2 linked regions of the Lepisosteus oculatus genome follow. The protein of the gene in region 1 purifies or fractionates together with the protein of each later gene. This does not show direct contact. Links are inferred from orthologs where the notes say so. Each region holds a gene or a part of one and is shown in the gene's direction. Other genes may lie near its edges. The genes, in order: macroh2a1 and ezh2.

The links.
Region 2: the proteins of macroh2a1 (region 1) and ezh2 purify together in Homo sapiens (affinity purification with mass spectrometry; 3 studies listed by BioGRID and IntAct, with this or other methods). This does not show direct contact. The link is inferred for Lepisosteus oculatus from reciprocal best matches to the Homo sapiens genes MACROH2A1 and EZH2.

What each region holds. Positions count from the first base shown.
Region 1 is NC_090706.1:23,557,715-23,565,858, forward strand, and holds the start of macroh2a1 (core histone macro-H2A.1), read left to right. Parts: upstream 1-5,029; 5' UTR 5,030-5,044; coding exon 5,045-5,179; intron 5,180-7,978; exon of another isoform or gene 7,979-7,992; coding exon 7,993-8,144. UniProt on the Homo sapiens protein: Variant histone H2A which replaces conventional H2A in a subset of nucleosomes where it represses transcription. Nucleosomes wrap and compact DNA into chromatin, limiting DNA accessibility to the cellular machineries which require DNA as a template.
Region 2 is NC_090701.1:2,908,415-2,916,549, reverse strand, and holds the start of ezh2 (histone-lysine N-methyltransferase EZH2), read left to right. Parts: upstream 1-5,105; 5' UTR 5,106-6,170; intron 6,171-6,419; exon of another isoform or gene 6,420-6,477; intron 6,478-8,135. UniProt on the Homo sapiens protein: Polycomb group (PcG) protein. Catalytic subunit of the PRC2/EED-EZH2 complex, which methylates 'Lys-9' (H3K9me) and 'Lys-27' (H3K27me) of histone H3, leading to transcriptional repression of the affected target gene.

The sequences.
Region 1 (8,144 bases):
CTCTTTTTGAGAAACGCCCTGGGATTTTTAATGACCACAGAGAGTCAGGACCTCGGTTTTACGTCTCATCTGAAGGACGGCGCCTGTTTACAGTATAGTGTCCCCGTCACTATACTGGGGCATTAGGACACACATGAGCCGCAGGGTGAGCGCCCCCTGCTGGCCCCACTAACACCTCTTCCAGCAGCAACCTTAGTTTTTCCCAGGAGGTCTCCCATCCAGGTACTGACCAGGCTCACACATGCTGAGCTTCAGTGGGTTGCCAGGTGTGAGTTGCAGGGTGATATGGCTGCTGGTCGTATCAGAGAAAAAAATATATTGTGCTGCCTGTTAAGGGGTACAACAAAAAGGTGTTCTCCAGGCCAAAGAATAAGATGAAAAGTGACTCCAGAGCAACAACTGTCTTGACTGCTCTGCTCTTTCTGAAGAATTTTGAGTTCCATCAAAATGGCCGATATTTTATTTTTGTAGCTGGACAATCCATAGATTGGTGGAATGATTTTCAAGAATTTAAAGCAGCTGAGGATTTAAACTGGTTTCCACTGCTCTGGAAACCCTGTAAAAGTAGATTAAACATTTGCAGGCAGGATCACTGAAAAGTGCACTGGTTTCTCCAAATATAGGTAAAGTCTGGGCAATATGGGATCCCCAGACTCACAATCAAGATAACATTAACCAATGCCAAGCAAGATTGTCCTTCTCCACTGGACTGATCTGGACGCCACACATGTCGGCATGTGTAGATGTTGCCACAACAATGGCATTTGCTGGGATTCCAATAAGTGAAAGCAGGAAGAGTACTCATCTAAAAAGAGAATAGCCATCCATACTGAAGTGTAGTGACATAAAATTGATTACTTTAAATCACTTTGAAGAACACTTAAAGAAATGTGCTAAGACCAGCCCAGTACTCATATTTCAACATTTGACAGTTCATAGGATGTTATAAAAAGAGAACAACAGCACATGTTAACAAAACAATTAGGGACATAGAAGTTTAGAAGTTTAGGTACAATGAAGAAAGTGATACCTACTGATAGTACTTGGCTTCAATACATTTGTCACCTTTGAGCTACAATTTCCATTAAATAACTCAGTTTTAAGAAAGGTAATGGAAATATCTCATAGAAACTTCTTCTACTTAGTGCTAGTGAAAAACAGCAAGACTTTAGTAGAAAGAAGCAAACTCCAGAAATCGAATAATTCTGTCTATGAAAAAAGTGAACATAAACATCACTGTCAAAAGGATCAACCCCATAAAAGTTACTAAAGCCTTTATTTTCATTCATTTACTTTGTAATCGCTTCTTCCATTTTGGGGTCACAGTGGAGCCAGAGGAAACCCAAATGTGGAGAGCAAATACATTCCATACAGATAGCACCCCAAGTCCAGAATAGAGCCTTGCGCCATGAGACAGCAATGCTAACCACTGTACTGCTCTACTTTAGTAACATAGTTCTGAATGTATGTAGTAACAGGCATGGGATCCAAAATATTTACTGGGGCATGAAACTGTAAATAATACCTTTTCTGAGTTCCAAAAACAAATATTATAGCTGTGAGAGAAAAATATTCTTTTTAAAAATTTAAATAAACTCTATTATACAATGCATACAATTTTCATTTAATAAATAATAGCTACTGTATATAACTATAGGTCATTAAATACATTTTCTAATATTTTATACATTCATAAATTGTGATTATTATTACTATTATTATTAATAACAATAATATTTTCATTAAGAGTTTACTAAATCTGATTTAAGAATGAAACAATACATTCTGTGACATTTCATTAATACATTTACATAAATAAGCCAAATAATGTACATACATTATACATAATTAAGAGCAACACATTTTAAAATAGTTTTTCTAAATTCATAACCTCCATACAGTGTATCTTTATTTGTATGAGTAAAATATGTAAACTATCTTATAAGAGATAAAACAATATCATGCTGTAATTATATTTAGCAAGCTATATCTTAATCAGGTTTCTTATTAATGTTTTCTTGTATTTTTGTAGTTTTTTGTAGAAATGTCTGTAGTTTTAAATAATTCAACCAAAATGCTGAATTGTCTTATTGTTCATAGGATTCTTTACAGCCATTATAGCTCAAGCTTCTTCTTGGAATTCAATATAACACCTACTGTATAACAAGGCTCAGAGAGCCAACAGGAATAAGATAATAAGAAATGTAGCGTTGCTGGTCAACTGTTGCTCAGCATAAATAAACAGGCAGGTAGAATGAAAGAAGAAAGGTTCAGTATTGTTGTTTATAATTCTACTTCCAGCTTTGAATTATCTTCTACTTGTTCCTTTAGAGCTCATACACTGACACAGCTCCTTGCTTGAACCTGTGTTGTACAGTGGAGGGTACACATAAGTTGTATCTGTTCTCTAGCTTAAGCTGATTATGATGAGGGGCTTCAGATCTTGTCAATAATGCCAAATGGTGTCACATGGTGGGTAGCATTGCTGTCTTGAAGTGCTGGGGCCTTGGAATCAATTCTGCACCTTGAGTGCTATCTGTGTAGAGTTTCTATGTTTTCCCCACGTTTGTGCGGATGTCCTCCCAGAACTGTGAAGCAGCAATTCTAACAACTGTGCTGCCCTAAACTCTTCAAAGTTCTTTTATTCCCAGATTTTGTCAGTGTATCTCTTATTAATATTAAGTTAAAAGGTTTGTGGTCTGTGTTATCTTCCCAGTGGAGTGAGATGAAAATTCACAAGGAATCAGAGCAAAACTGGAAAAGTCAAATCTGTCAGCGGGTTTTTGTTCTCCCTGTGTTTGTGTGGGTTTCCTCCCACAGCCCAATGATACACTGCTAGGTTAATTTGCTTCTGGGAGAGCTGGCCCTGGTTTGTCTGTGTCTGTGTGTGCCCCATGATGTGCTGCTGTCCCATTCAAGTTATATCGTGCCTTGCACCTGTTGCTTTCTGGCTCCCCCTGTATTGGATAAATCAATATGTGTAAGGGTACGGTTAGGATTGTATTTCTGTACCTGAAACCCCTAGAGAGTAGACAAATTTAGACTGTATCATGGTTATAAAACTTTATAACTTCACTCATTCCCCATTAAATCTTTTCATTTAATATTGAAAATATTCTTTTCAAATGATCAAGCAAATGATGCAAATGATCAGCCATTTAATGAATTGAGCGATCACGTCTTAAGGCAGAATGGAAATTCATTATCATGCTTACTCAAAAAGTTTATTAAAACCTTTTATTTGATTTTCAGTCCATCTCCTTTTTACATTAACTGTTTGGGATGTCTGGCTTTTCTGACAAATTATTTGTGATATTACAAAATATATCTTAGAATTGTGAGGTGAGTTTGACCAATTTACCAAAAATCAAATGTAATATTTTGCAAACATAAGACAACTCACTGATTTTTTAAAGATTTTGTTTTGTAATTTTGTCTCTTTTTAAAATGTATACTACAATGAATAAAATTTGTAACAAGTAATGGGCTATTTTTTAGTTCCTCTTTAGCAATGTACTTCTAACATAATTCTCTGAAATCCCCTGTGGGCATCAAATAGGAAGTATTAAACACAATTTATGAAAACAGCTGTCAAGAAATAGAAAATAGTGCCACTCCAGTGCCACTCCAGGAAGCCTGTTTGTCGTATCTGTTCCAGAGATTTACTTTTAAATTGTACTTTGGAGACAGCAGGGTTTAGCAAAGAAATTCGAGTTGAATTCATTGCTATTAAAATCTTAAATATTTCATATAAATAATTATCATATAAAATAATTGTAAAATTGTAAAAATTGTAATGTAAAATCCCATTCATATTTGTTTAATATATTTCCTTCTCTACCGTATGCAATCCGAGGATTGAAAAAAGACATTGGAAAACACAAACGCTTATACTGTAGCTGCCTCTTAGTCTTACTGCACCAGTAGGTGTGTCTCCACCTGCTGGCGTAAATGCTAATTAAAAATGCGGTTCAATAATAGTGTCCAATAAATTATTGTAACGCAACGGGGGCTCCGGCGGGCGCCCTTGCCGCATCTGGTCGGCCCCTGCACCGTCCGGGGCTCGAACCCGGGACTTCCGCGTCTCTCTGCAGCGACCTAGCCCCGTGAGCCAAAGAGAGATCTCTCCACAGCCCAGTAGCTGTGGTCCTGCTATCACAGGGAAGGGCGGTGACGTCACCCGCTCTGGTACGCCGGCTCTTACACAGCGCCTGTCGGCCGTAAGCGTTACACTCTCCCCCGCTTAAATCGCCGTCCCCGGCGAAGGGCTATCCCGCCCCGCTTCTGACACCAATGTAACGCAACGGGGGCTCCGGCGGGCGCCCTTGCCGCATCTGGTCGGCCCCTGCACCGTCCGGGGCTCGAACCCGGGACTTCCGCGTCTCTCTGCAGCGACCTAGCCCCGTGAGCCAAAGAGAGATCTCTCCACAGCCCAGTAGCTGTGGTCCTGCTATCACAGGGAAGGGCGGTGACGTCACCCGCTCTGGTACGCCGGCTCTTACACAGCGCCTGTCGGCCGTAAGCGTTACATTATAAATAGTCCGGTATTCTAAAATATATTTCAACAACGCCATTTAATAAAGAAAGACACTGTATTTTAAAAAGAACATTGTAAGACGTTTAGCTTCAATCTCAAGGTTAATTTTGCATTTAAATTGCCTACTACAGTATTTCGTTATGCATTTGTTAAGGCTTTACAGACTTACAGACGCAAATACCCACTTAACCTGAATATTATTTTTGTTGCTTAGCAATGCAGACTATTTGCCCAAGTGAAACACGTTTATTTTAAACATAACTATGTTGTGATCAATAAAGGCAGACTTTGAAACCTGCTTTTATGTCTGCTCAACGAAAAGCCTCGTTTGTTGACCGATTTTAAGGTTAAACGAAAGTCAATAAAACAGAGTATACTTACTTCTAATTCAAATTAAATAATGTTGTACATGAAAGAAAGTGTTTAGTTGAGTCTACTTGCAATCAAAACATTAATACCGGCACCAGCTGTTGAGCATTTATCAAGATTCCGGTTAATTACAGCGAAATGCTAGTAACTGCTTCCTCTTTAGAGAGCAGTTACATAGATAGGTCGCTATGGATTGTGGGAATCGGAGACACTGCCCAGGCTTGTTTTATTGGAGCTGCAGGAGACAGTAGACATATTGCTGTGCTTTATTCTGTAAGTAACTGACATTCTTTGATATTAATTTACACCTGTTTCGCCCTGAAAAATCAAACGCCGCATTTTTTTTCTGGAAAAACATCATCTGCCTTACCAGTCACGTCTTTAACCCAGTCTACCCATTTTACTTGTAGATCAGGGCCGTGTGACTTGAATTGTATTTATAGGCTACATTTATGTTTAGCAGAATCGCAGCCCCGCTGATGAAAACAAAAAGCATACTGCTGCGTAATATCTTTGCGGGAGAAAACATGTGTCATGTATAACACAGATTGTTGTCTCATTATTTGTGTCATTAATGTTTGGTAATATTTTGTATATTTCTTTTATGGTAACATTTCAAAACCCGGAAACCGAACCATTCTAGTTTCTAACACGACATTATTTCCAGTATTTCATTTTTTTTGTTTTATGTAATATGCATATTTAACAACATATAAATATCTATATATTAATTATACTTTATATCATAAGATGGAAAAACGTGAAAAATGAGAAAGTGGTAATATAGAACAGTATGTTTTCTGTTTACTTTTAATACCCTTTAGCTATACATCCTGAGGGGAGAAAATAGTTCGTGTCTACAGAATATTATGGTTAATGTAGTACACTTTGCACATTCGTATTTCTGATGTTCATTTTTATATTTGCTACAGCCAAAGACAGTGACAGTGACAGTAACAAAAAAATCAGTGTTTACCGTTTTATAATATAATAGTAATACCGTTTTTAATTCTGTATTAACTTTAGAATGTGGTACCAATATTTGGCCTCTTCGAATTGTATAATAACGTTTTATTTGTTATAAAACATTGACTAGAATGCAAATAAAGTAACCAACGTTTTATATAAAGTGTATTAACTCAGTGATTCTGATCATTCAAAAACCATGCAGAATTGAAGACGCTTGAAAAAAGTGATACCTGAATACAAAACATTTCTGTCACACAAAAACAGCAGTTATCTACTTCATGTTGCACAAAATGCTTTTCTCCGAGGACCCTGGAATTTTAATTAAGTACCTTACACTGATGTTTATATAAAACCTGGTATTCAGCTGTTTTCCTCTCTATTTTTCTCTTATTGTTATGTGTTTTAATACTAATTCCTGTCTTATTAATCAGTATATCTGTAGCTATAGTATTGCATGTATTAAATGTAGCTACAATATTGTAGCTGTGAGTAATCTATTTACATTTTTACTGCTCACAGAAGTAATCCCTTTTAGTAATCTGTAACCCACGATTTACATTTGAAGTGACATGTTTGCGTTGCTGACGAGTTAGCATATACATTATAGACGTTGCTTTCATAACTCATATGTGAGATGTTTTTATTTTTTATGTCCCTCCAGAAATCTCTTATTGCTAATTAGATATTTAGTATACACTATTATATATTATTATATCATAATTGTTGTTATATGACACATTTTAAATATTTTCTTTTACTTAATGTGTTGTAATCTATTGTTACTCTGTAAAATTAGTGGTGTAATTTGTAAACTCCACATGAGGCACTTAAACAAAAGACTAGTCATTTGGGAGTTAAGAAGCTGTTGCCTAGCAACCTGTACCTGAAAGGCAAGTGTGCCCCTGAGGAAGTAGAGAATTAAAATGCATCTAAACAAAAGCCAGACAGGTAAAGCCTGTAATAGGAAGACATAGATCAGTCAGAATGTGATCTACAGTATATAGGAATTAAACTCATATTTTATTACAGCAGTATCTAATTGTTACCGGTGTAGTAAACCACCGCATTCTCTTTTAAATTATTTAACTGAGATCTATTTTAAAAAGGTCAATATAATTAAACTAAAATGTTCACAATTTACAGGACTGTGACCTCTTAAATAAATGAAAGCGCTGCTTGTGTTTTACATTTAGGCCATATTTCTACAAGTATATTATGATTTTACATACTTGTGCTATTGCTGGAAAAGGTGATAGAGAAAAAACTTAAATTTATCTTTTTTTAAGATGCTGAACAAAATTCAGAACTTTTTTGTGAAAAATGTGTTTGATACTTGTATGTCTGCAACACATAATAATGATCATCATAATAATTCATTAATTTATTTTTTAAAATCTTACAATTATATAGCACTTTTCTGGAGACTTCACTCAAAAGACCTTTACATGTAATGGGGACTCCCCACCACCACCAATGTGCAGCCATCACCTGGATGGCAGGCATAGTATGCCAGAATACTCACCACACACCAGCTATCAGTGGAGAGCAGAACAGAGTGATGAAGCCAATTCATAGATGGGGATTATTAGGAGGCCACGATTTGTAAAGGCCTAGGGAAAATTTGGACAGGATGCAAGGGTAAGACCCCTACTTATTTCGAGAAACATCCAGGAATTTTTAATGACCACAGAGAGTCCGGACCTCGGTGTTTGCATCTCGTACAAAGGACTGGGCCCTTGGGCTATGTCCCCATCACTACACTGGGGCATTAGTGCTCACACAGACTTTAGGGTGAGTGCGCCCTGCTGACCCCACTGACACCACTAACACCACTTCCAGCAGCAACCTTAGCTTTGCCAGGAGGTCATCCATCCAGGTACTGACAGGACTCACACCTGCTTAGCATCAGTGGGTTGTTAGTTGTGAGTTGCAGGATCATAAAGCTGCTGGCAAATTATACTGCTAAATCGGAAACTGTGAAAGTGTTTTTACCCCCACTAAAATGCTCTTGTTAGGTATTTCAATAAATATCTGTACAGACATGTTGAGGAGAGTAAACAGAACATTAGTTTCCGTGGCATTGAGTTTTTTTCACTTCTCCAGACCTACAATTTCAGACTGGCAACAGCACTATGTCTAGCCGAGGAGGAAAGAAGAAGACTACAAAGACATCTCGGTCTGCGAAGGCTGGGGTTATTTTCCCTGTGGGCAGAATGCTGCGCTACATTAAGAAGGGGCACCCCAAATATAGGATTGGAGTAGGAGCCCC
Region 2 (8,135 bases), on another chromosome or scaffold:
GAAACACAAAAAAAGGAGACAGGAAATAGACACTTCACAGCCAGAGGATTTCACAGTTGTAAAACCCAAAAATTATTCAATTTCCATTGTATGTCTTGCCTTTTGATTCTTTAAATTTCTAAAGGAATTCAACTCTAACAGCATGGATAGAGGGAGCAGTATTAGACCATTTACATTTATGGATAAAATATTTAGCCAAAATAATTAACAGATTAACAATAAACACATTCTTTATCCAAATCAGATCCAACAAAATATTAAATAATATCAAAATCTTTCAATTTAACATTTACCTTAAAATCTTGAACAATAACATTTTGCAGATCTACCCAAAACAGTTCTGTTTATATGCAGTAAACAAATGTAGTAACAAAGAATCCGTCTCATTACTACAAAGTACACATAAGTCATCTTGTTCATGTTTAATTCTAGGAAGTACAACTTTTGTTTGGCGTTTACTGGGACCGTACTTGTGAAGGATATCACGGTACCATCCTCAGAGAGACTGGATCGAGAAATGCAGTTTAAAACGAACGGGTGCGATTGTGAAATGACACGGGGGATTCTACTTTAAAACGACTGCCCAGAAAAGCATGGTATTGTCATTTGTTGACAGGAGGAGGCGGGTGGGGAAGCACTTTTTTTTTACAAAAAATTAGCAAAAGACCAGTCAAATTGCGTAGTGGGCGGGAAAGGGAAACAAACGAGGAGTTAAGTTAACTGACTGTGAGAAATATCAATTGCGATAACCCACTACAATCGGACCAGTCAACTACACCATCCGCTTGTATTCCTAAATAAACCCCAAATGCTAAGTATTCGTTCGATCTAGGGCTATACTTCAGACTGTATTAAAAACATCATGGCACTAAGAATCACTTAATTTATCCTACAGATAGATGTAGTGCTCAGTGCAAGCGAAGATAAAAATGATAGCGCTACACACCGAAGACAAAGCTCGTTTTTGTCCCCCCATCCGTAAGCCTCGTACTGAAGCATCACGGGATATGCAAATCGTACGCAACTGTATTACAGGCACACGCGGCCGCGCAACTAGACAACTCGAGACCAGCAGAAGAGAAGACGGACGATTATTGGGGGGAAGTCAATGACAAATTAGCCCGTCCAAATCGCATTGTGCACAGATGACCTCCCTCCTCCAGCATTTGTGCATAAAACCATTGCACTCGATAATGAACCAATCCATCAACCGGCTGCATTTTTCCAAAATGAGACAATTTATTGTGAAAATAAAAAGTAACAAATCATAATAAATAATGAAGATGTTATTAACGTTATTACTTTTGCTTTGATCTCCACACCTTTCAGTCCTACTTTTTCTGTACATATAATCGCAAAGCGAGCTGCCAGTTTTACAGCTGCAATACCGAGACCTGACCGCTGGGGGGAGAGAACGGTTTGAAAAAAAATAATTTCAGCGCCGATGAGGACAAAATACTGTTAAAAATGAAATTAGTTTATTTTTTTCCGTGCTACTGCGTGATTTACCCCGCAACTGAAAAATCCATGCAAAACAAGGAAATACTTTTCATACTCGTTCCAGCATTTTTTTTTATATTACGCTCAATGCACACGTGTTAGCCATTCAGAAATGAATGCAATATTATACAGAAAGTCACGCTTTAAACGATAGCAACATGTGCTGTAAATAACGGATCACGCCAATTACATTTCTGAACATTCCTTGAAAATGGAAGACATTTTAATGAAAAGTTAAATTCGGTACCCAAAGTGAGAGAGTATGTGAACGTACCATCTTTTTATTTTGTGAACGCAATCGTTTCAGCACAGCATTGCAGCCCGAGCTGCCTTTGATCAAGTAAGTGCAAGACACCAATTAGCTTAAAAGCACGTGTTCTGCACAGACCTTTGCAATCGACGTAACAATTGTAATTTTTTTTCCATGTATAAAGAATTTACAAATACAAGTACAACTCAAGGAGCAATTGTAATTGACCAATCAGGAGCGCGGAGAGTGACCAAGGGCAGCAGCAGGTACCTGAACTGTCGTGATCACGGTATCGTTATCCTGTAACACATCTCAGGCAATTAATCGTCTTTACTGGGAGGTTATCTGTTCTGCATTAAACAAAAAAAAAACACGATTAAACGCAACACGAGCTAAGACATCTCCACGACCGCCGCCTTCCACGCGGAGAGACTTCAAAGCGGCTCGGCGGGCGGCCCACGCGTGGCGTGGCGTGGAAAAAATTCACATGTGACGCACTGCGAGGCGTTCCGGGTTCTAGCAGCGGTGAAACACGAGGAGAGAGCAGGACGCGCACACCCCGTCAATGAGGAATGAAATGCTAAGGGTCATTAATAACCCTTTTCCCTCCCTCTCCTGTACTCCCTAGGCGGTGCTCCGCAGCGTGGGTGTCTTACGACACGTAAGAGACAGAATATCAAAATAGATACAGCAAATAGGCACTTCACAGCAAGAGGAATTCACGACGCTAAGGGCTGAAGCAGTTGCAAAGTCTGGGAGCAGGTCCTGAAGATGATGAGGAAGACTACAGCTCGTCCGTCTGGGAGAAGAGGCCCGTGCGGGAGAGCTTCGTGAAGTGGGAAAGCTGTCGCGCCGGGACAGTCCCACTCCCTCGCCCTGTGGCGGTACGAGTAGTCGGTGGCGGTGGATGGCCACGACGCCTCTCTGTGCCTTGTCTTGCCCTTCGCTGTCCACAGAGCATTGCAGCAGTATAGTGTCCCATCACACTGTACTGGGGCATCAGGACCCACGCAAACCGCAGGGTGAGAGCGCCCCCCGCTGGCCCCACTCACACCTCTTCCAGCAGCAGCTGGGGGTCTCCCGTCCGGGTACCGGCCAGGCTCACACCTGCTGGGCTCCAGGGGCCTGCCAGCAGGGAGCTGTAGTAAGATAGCAGCAGAAAATTAGCGATTTCATTGTGGATGATAATTAGACTTTACTCGGTATTTGTTCCGGTGGCATATTTCAAATAGATTCAAATCTAAAAATATCTTTGCACAGTTTTGATCACGGGTAGATATTTATTTCGACTCTAGAGTAGTTTTGGGAGGGTGGGGGGGATCTATCAGCTGTTCATTTCCATTAAATTTGAAGATTTTCTCTGGTTTCGAGAGGAAACCCAGTCCACCCCGAAGGGAGTTAGCGAGCTGTTCCCTCGTGCTTTTTTTTTTTTTTCCTCCGTGGGTCTCCATGGGCAGACATTCCCTCTGCTGTCTCCTTCCTTGTATCTCATACGCGCACGGCTCCGCCGACCCGGCAAGTCCGGTCTGGCCGGTGTCCCCCGTCCGGCCCGCCAAGCCCCATTCAAAGGAGAAGGCGGGGGAGGGCCGACCGCCAGCCGGCCAATCACGGCGCGAGTGGCCCGCGGCCGGAGACCAATGCCAGGAGAGGGAGGGATCCGGTGAGACCCTGTCAGCCAATCGGAGAGCAGCTGAGCTCGATTTCAGGCAGGCGTGGGAGAGGGCGACTTTGTAGCGTGTTGTCAGACAGCTCCGGCAAATCACAGGGCGCGGAGTCTTGGCGAGACTGTAGAAACAACTACCCCTTTCTCACATAGAGTAATATAACCCCTACCCTTCAATATGGCAAAAGATAATAACTGTTGTGAGCCCGGACTTGCCTTGAGAGGCACTCCATCCAAACATCGACACTTGTCGTTTTCCGATGGCATGACAATGACATGTTTGAACCTACCATCTCTCTGTGCGCCGGTATGGATCTTAAAGTACCCTAAAATTAACTCATTAAATTAAATTAATTTAAAAAATGAAAGAAGAACACGCGATTCACAGAACGTCTCTGCCCCTGCTCTGTAAAGTCACTCAGGCGGGGCTTGAAGTCTCGTACTTGTTCAGTCGAAATACCTCAGGTCCCTCGGCGATGAAGAGCTCTTTCTGCACATGGCGGTGTCTAACGATGGTTAAAGAACGTGACTTCGAGGAGTTCAAATCTGAAATCCGGGAATGGGAGTCAAAAATGATGAAAACAGACCTCGGTAACGTCGTGACGTAGCGAGGCAGCCTGTCGGCACAGGACAAAAAGAAGAAAATATTTGCTTTGTTTTCACTTTTAAAAAAAAGTCAAATTTAGAGGTCAAGAGCTCAGTATTGGTAGGAAAGTGGTAATTTGTTCGGATACAAACGCCTCCCACTAAGGTAGAAAAATGATTATGTGAGAACAAACCTTTAGACCACTCCAATTGAGACAGTTGCAGGACATCCACCGCTATGTGTATTTGTGCAAGCTGACTGAATATTTATTTCCAAACTTATGTCGTATATCTACTTCATTTAATGTATTTTTGAGATAGAGTAGTGTTGATGACAACTGAGCTGTTTGATCTACTATTTCAAATCGTCTCTAATTCACGGGTAAAAGTCCAGAAGAGGTGTGAGTTGTCTCTACATGCTGTGTACAGGAAGGGCAGAAAGCAGTTTCTCATAATTATTGAGCCCGATCAGTTTGGATATTTAAATTATATTTAGGCTAATATTCATTAGAGCCTACTGGATGGGGTGATCCTCAGACCGTGAAAAGTGCGTTCAACTGTTTTTCACGAGTTTCCTTTGATTAAACTAGTGTCTTCAAGAGGGATTTTACAGCAGGTAAGATACTAATTAAAGCGAGAAAATAATGCGCCGGGGACAGAATATAAACAAAGACCTTTCATTTTGTGAAGTATAATTCCATTCTTTTTTCCCCTCAACCTGCTTTAAAGTAGTCCTTTGGATATTGATTCCAGTGACAAAGGTTAATGCACAACAATCATTAGAAAACGACTATCTTCTGTCAAAACACTCTACTATTCCGGTACTATAACTGAAGGACATTTAAAAAAAAAAAAGGTCCGTGCTTTCCAGTGAATAAAATAAAGCGACACGTATCTATGTAAGTGACATTATAAGTTATTTCGTCAACAGGCGTCAGCTCTGCATAACTACAGGGCTGAGGCGGATATAGTTATAGCTCCACATCTCAAGAGGTGTAGTCACACAACTTTTTATTAGGAACAAGTAATAGGTTTATTCCATGCTGAAAAAAAGAAGAAAGAGAACACAACGTTTCGGCCGTGGAGCTTTCTTCAGGTTTTTTTTTTTTTTAGTGGTTGGGGTGAAATGAGCTGTACATGAGGTAGCTGTGTGAATCCGTGGGTTTGTATTAAACTGAAGTGGACAGTCGGGGATAGTCGATGGAGAAGTTGATGTCTAGAAACGGAAGAGCAGTGGAAGATATGTTAACCGTATATTTGAGGGACGGGTGGAAGTTGGTGAAACTTTTTATTAGCTGTGAAAGTGACTGAACTAGGAAAGAGCGAAAGAGACAAAAGCGTTTTTATATCCACCCCCATTCCTTGACACGGCTCTTCCACATCCTGGGAGACGTATATAATACGCTTAGACGTTTCCGATTTAATAGTAAAAAATATTTTAATCTGCTCAGAGCAGAACAGCCCCCCCCAATTGGCCATTTCTCTGCAATCCAAAGATGCACCACAAATAAACCAGCTGGAACGCGTCGCTTTGCGTATGCCACGGCGTAGAACACGAAGAGGCTGTCGATTACATTAGCATGACTGTTCGTTTTTGTTTTTTGAGTGAAAACAAAAAATTAAGCATCGCAACCGCCGACCTCAACAGCACTCCACCGAACAAGCCCAGGAACAAAGGCAACTTCTCCACATGTCCCCGCAGGCGGGGCCCCCTGCCGCACAGCCGCCGCTGATTGGCCAGCTCCCCGGCGGCAGCGGGCCATTCGGATGCCCCGATACTGGGGGGGCTGAGTGTCCTCCTCGCTGATTGGCGGCCGCGTTTGGCGCTCGCCGAGGCCCCGGTCTGGCGGAGCGAGGGGCGGACAGCGAGCGAGCAGAGGCGACGGGCGGTGAGCGGAGAGCTGCCGGAGCGGAAATCGCCGTGCGACGAGGGGACTCCGTGCCGAGGCGAAGGCGACCGAGTGCCGGCCGCAGCGGAGCGGCCCTGCCGAGCCAGGGAGGGGGGGGGCGCCCAGCGAGCGGGAAAGGAGGAAGGAGCCGCCGGGCCCCGGCAGCGCCTCTTTGTGTGAGCCGTTTACCCGGCGCCCCTCGGTCGGTCCCGGAGCCACGGGAGGGTCGTCGCCTCGGTACCCCGGTGGCTGTGGACCAGGAGTCGAGTCGGCTCTTCGACAGGTGAGAGGGGTTTTTTTATGTGTGTGTGTGGGGGGGGGGTTTGTTTCCATTTTGTCGTTTTTCCATTCACACGACTAACCCCCCCGCTCTCTCTCTCTCTCTCCCCCCTCCTCCTCCTCCTCCTCCTCTCTCTCTCTTTCTCCCGGCTCGGCTGGCTGGCGGAAAAGGGAGAAGAAGAAACGGCTTTCTTTTTGTTTCGGGCGGGCTGGAGTGCAGACCTGTGTGTGTGGGGGGGTCGGAGCGGTGAAGACTTTTTTGTTGTTGTTTTGTTGTTGTCGTCGAGAGAGTCCGCACGGCCGCTGTCCGGGTGAGCTTGAGCCGGCGGTACCGGGGCGGAAGTTTTGCGCCGTGCGGTTCCCTCCACCGCGCAGTGTGGGATCCGGGTGGGAGAGTCGTGCGTGGCTCCTTCGCCCGGTGTTGTCTCCCACGGGGTGTGTGTGTGTGTCTGCCCCCTCTCCGGCGCCGGCGGTGTCGCCTCGGGTCCTCTCTGAGCGCCGTGCCGTGTCGGTGAAGTCCGCTGTCCCGGTATTGACCTCGGCGAGGCGGCGCGTCGTGAGAGCCCGTTGTCTCTACCTGTGTGTGGTGTCCCGGGCTGGCGAGGGCTCCGCGACAGCACGTCAGTGCACACGGGTTTTTTTTATTATTATTATTTTAATCTGATCCCCTGCTTTGTGTTGCTGTTAGATTTTGTTTTGTTTTCTTTTTTAAAGAATTGGTCCGCCGGGGGTTTTAGGAATAGGTGAGTGGAGGTAGGGTTTGCACTGGACCACTTTTGCTTTGCTTTTCGATGTCCTGGGGGGCGCTGAGCGTCCCGGCGAGTTGGTTTTCGATGGCTGGCAGCGAGCAGCCCCATGTGTGCGGAGCAGCCCCATGTGGGGAAGCGTGCGGAGCTGTTCCCATGTTCCTCCATCAGAAGGAACTGGTCGTGACCTCGGGTCATCGGGGCGAATGTGGAAGGCTTGGCTTGAGACTACCAGGTGCTCTTTTTTTCACTCTTTCATCCTCTTCAGTTTTTTTTTTAAGGAGAATGGTCGTCTGATAGTCTGCCTGCAGTGTAAATCTGATGTGGTGTCATTTAGGTTGTGGTGGCCTGGGTTTAAGTGTAAAAAAAAATGTGAACTGTTTTTTTAAGTTGTGAATAGATATGTTTTTAAGAATGTATCTGTGAATTCATAAACGTACCTCAGTTCAGAAATTATTCGAAGGTAAGGTACTGTCTCATTGTTTCCACACGCCAGCAGTACTGGATGAATTTGTACACAGAAGGTGAGCACTACGAGTGAGCGGCCAGCGTGGCTGTCTTGGTGTCAGGGGTGTCCTGGTCCTGGAGGCGTGTGCTGTCATTCAGACCTCAATTACCACCTGATTGGCCCAACATCCCCGCCACTCCCAGCTCTGCAGAGACCTGGAGAGTGAGACAGCGGCCCTGCCGGACCAGGAACTCATGCTCTTGTCGCCTCAGGAGGGCGAGGGGTCGCGCGGTTCAGAGCTCTGAGGCTCTGCGCGGCGCTGAAGACTGACACCTCCTTACGTGTCTTTCTTGAGCCCCGAATGGTTACCATTTGATGGGTCCCTGACTGAAATCGGCCGCACAGCCGTGCGGGACGGTCCTGGCTGTTCCCCTGGGCTTGACGGGCTCCGGGACCGCGCTGCCCGCCTCTCTGAAGGGTTCTGGTCCTGGTTCTGGTCCCGCAGCGGTGATGTGGTGCGCAGGCCTGCTGTCCCGGCTGCTTGTTGTAGGTGGGTGGGGAGGAGTCGGGGCTGGCGGGGCCTTTCTTGTTTTCTGGTCAGGTTCCAGCCAGCCACCCGTCGGGCTTGCAGCAGCGTCCCCCCTGGGGACAGGGGTCTCCCCTCCCTCTTTCTGAGAAGGAAGCGGTGCAGCCGGAGTGAGCCGAGAAGGGGAATTATGTTTGTGATCAGTCGCACCCCAGCTGTGTTCTCGGGTATGGCTCATGTTTAATGTGA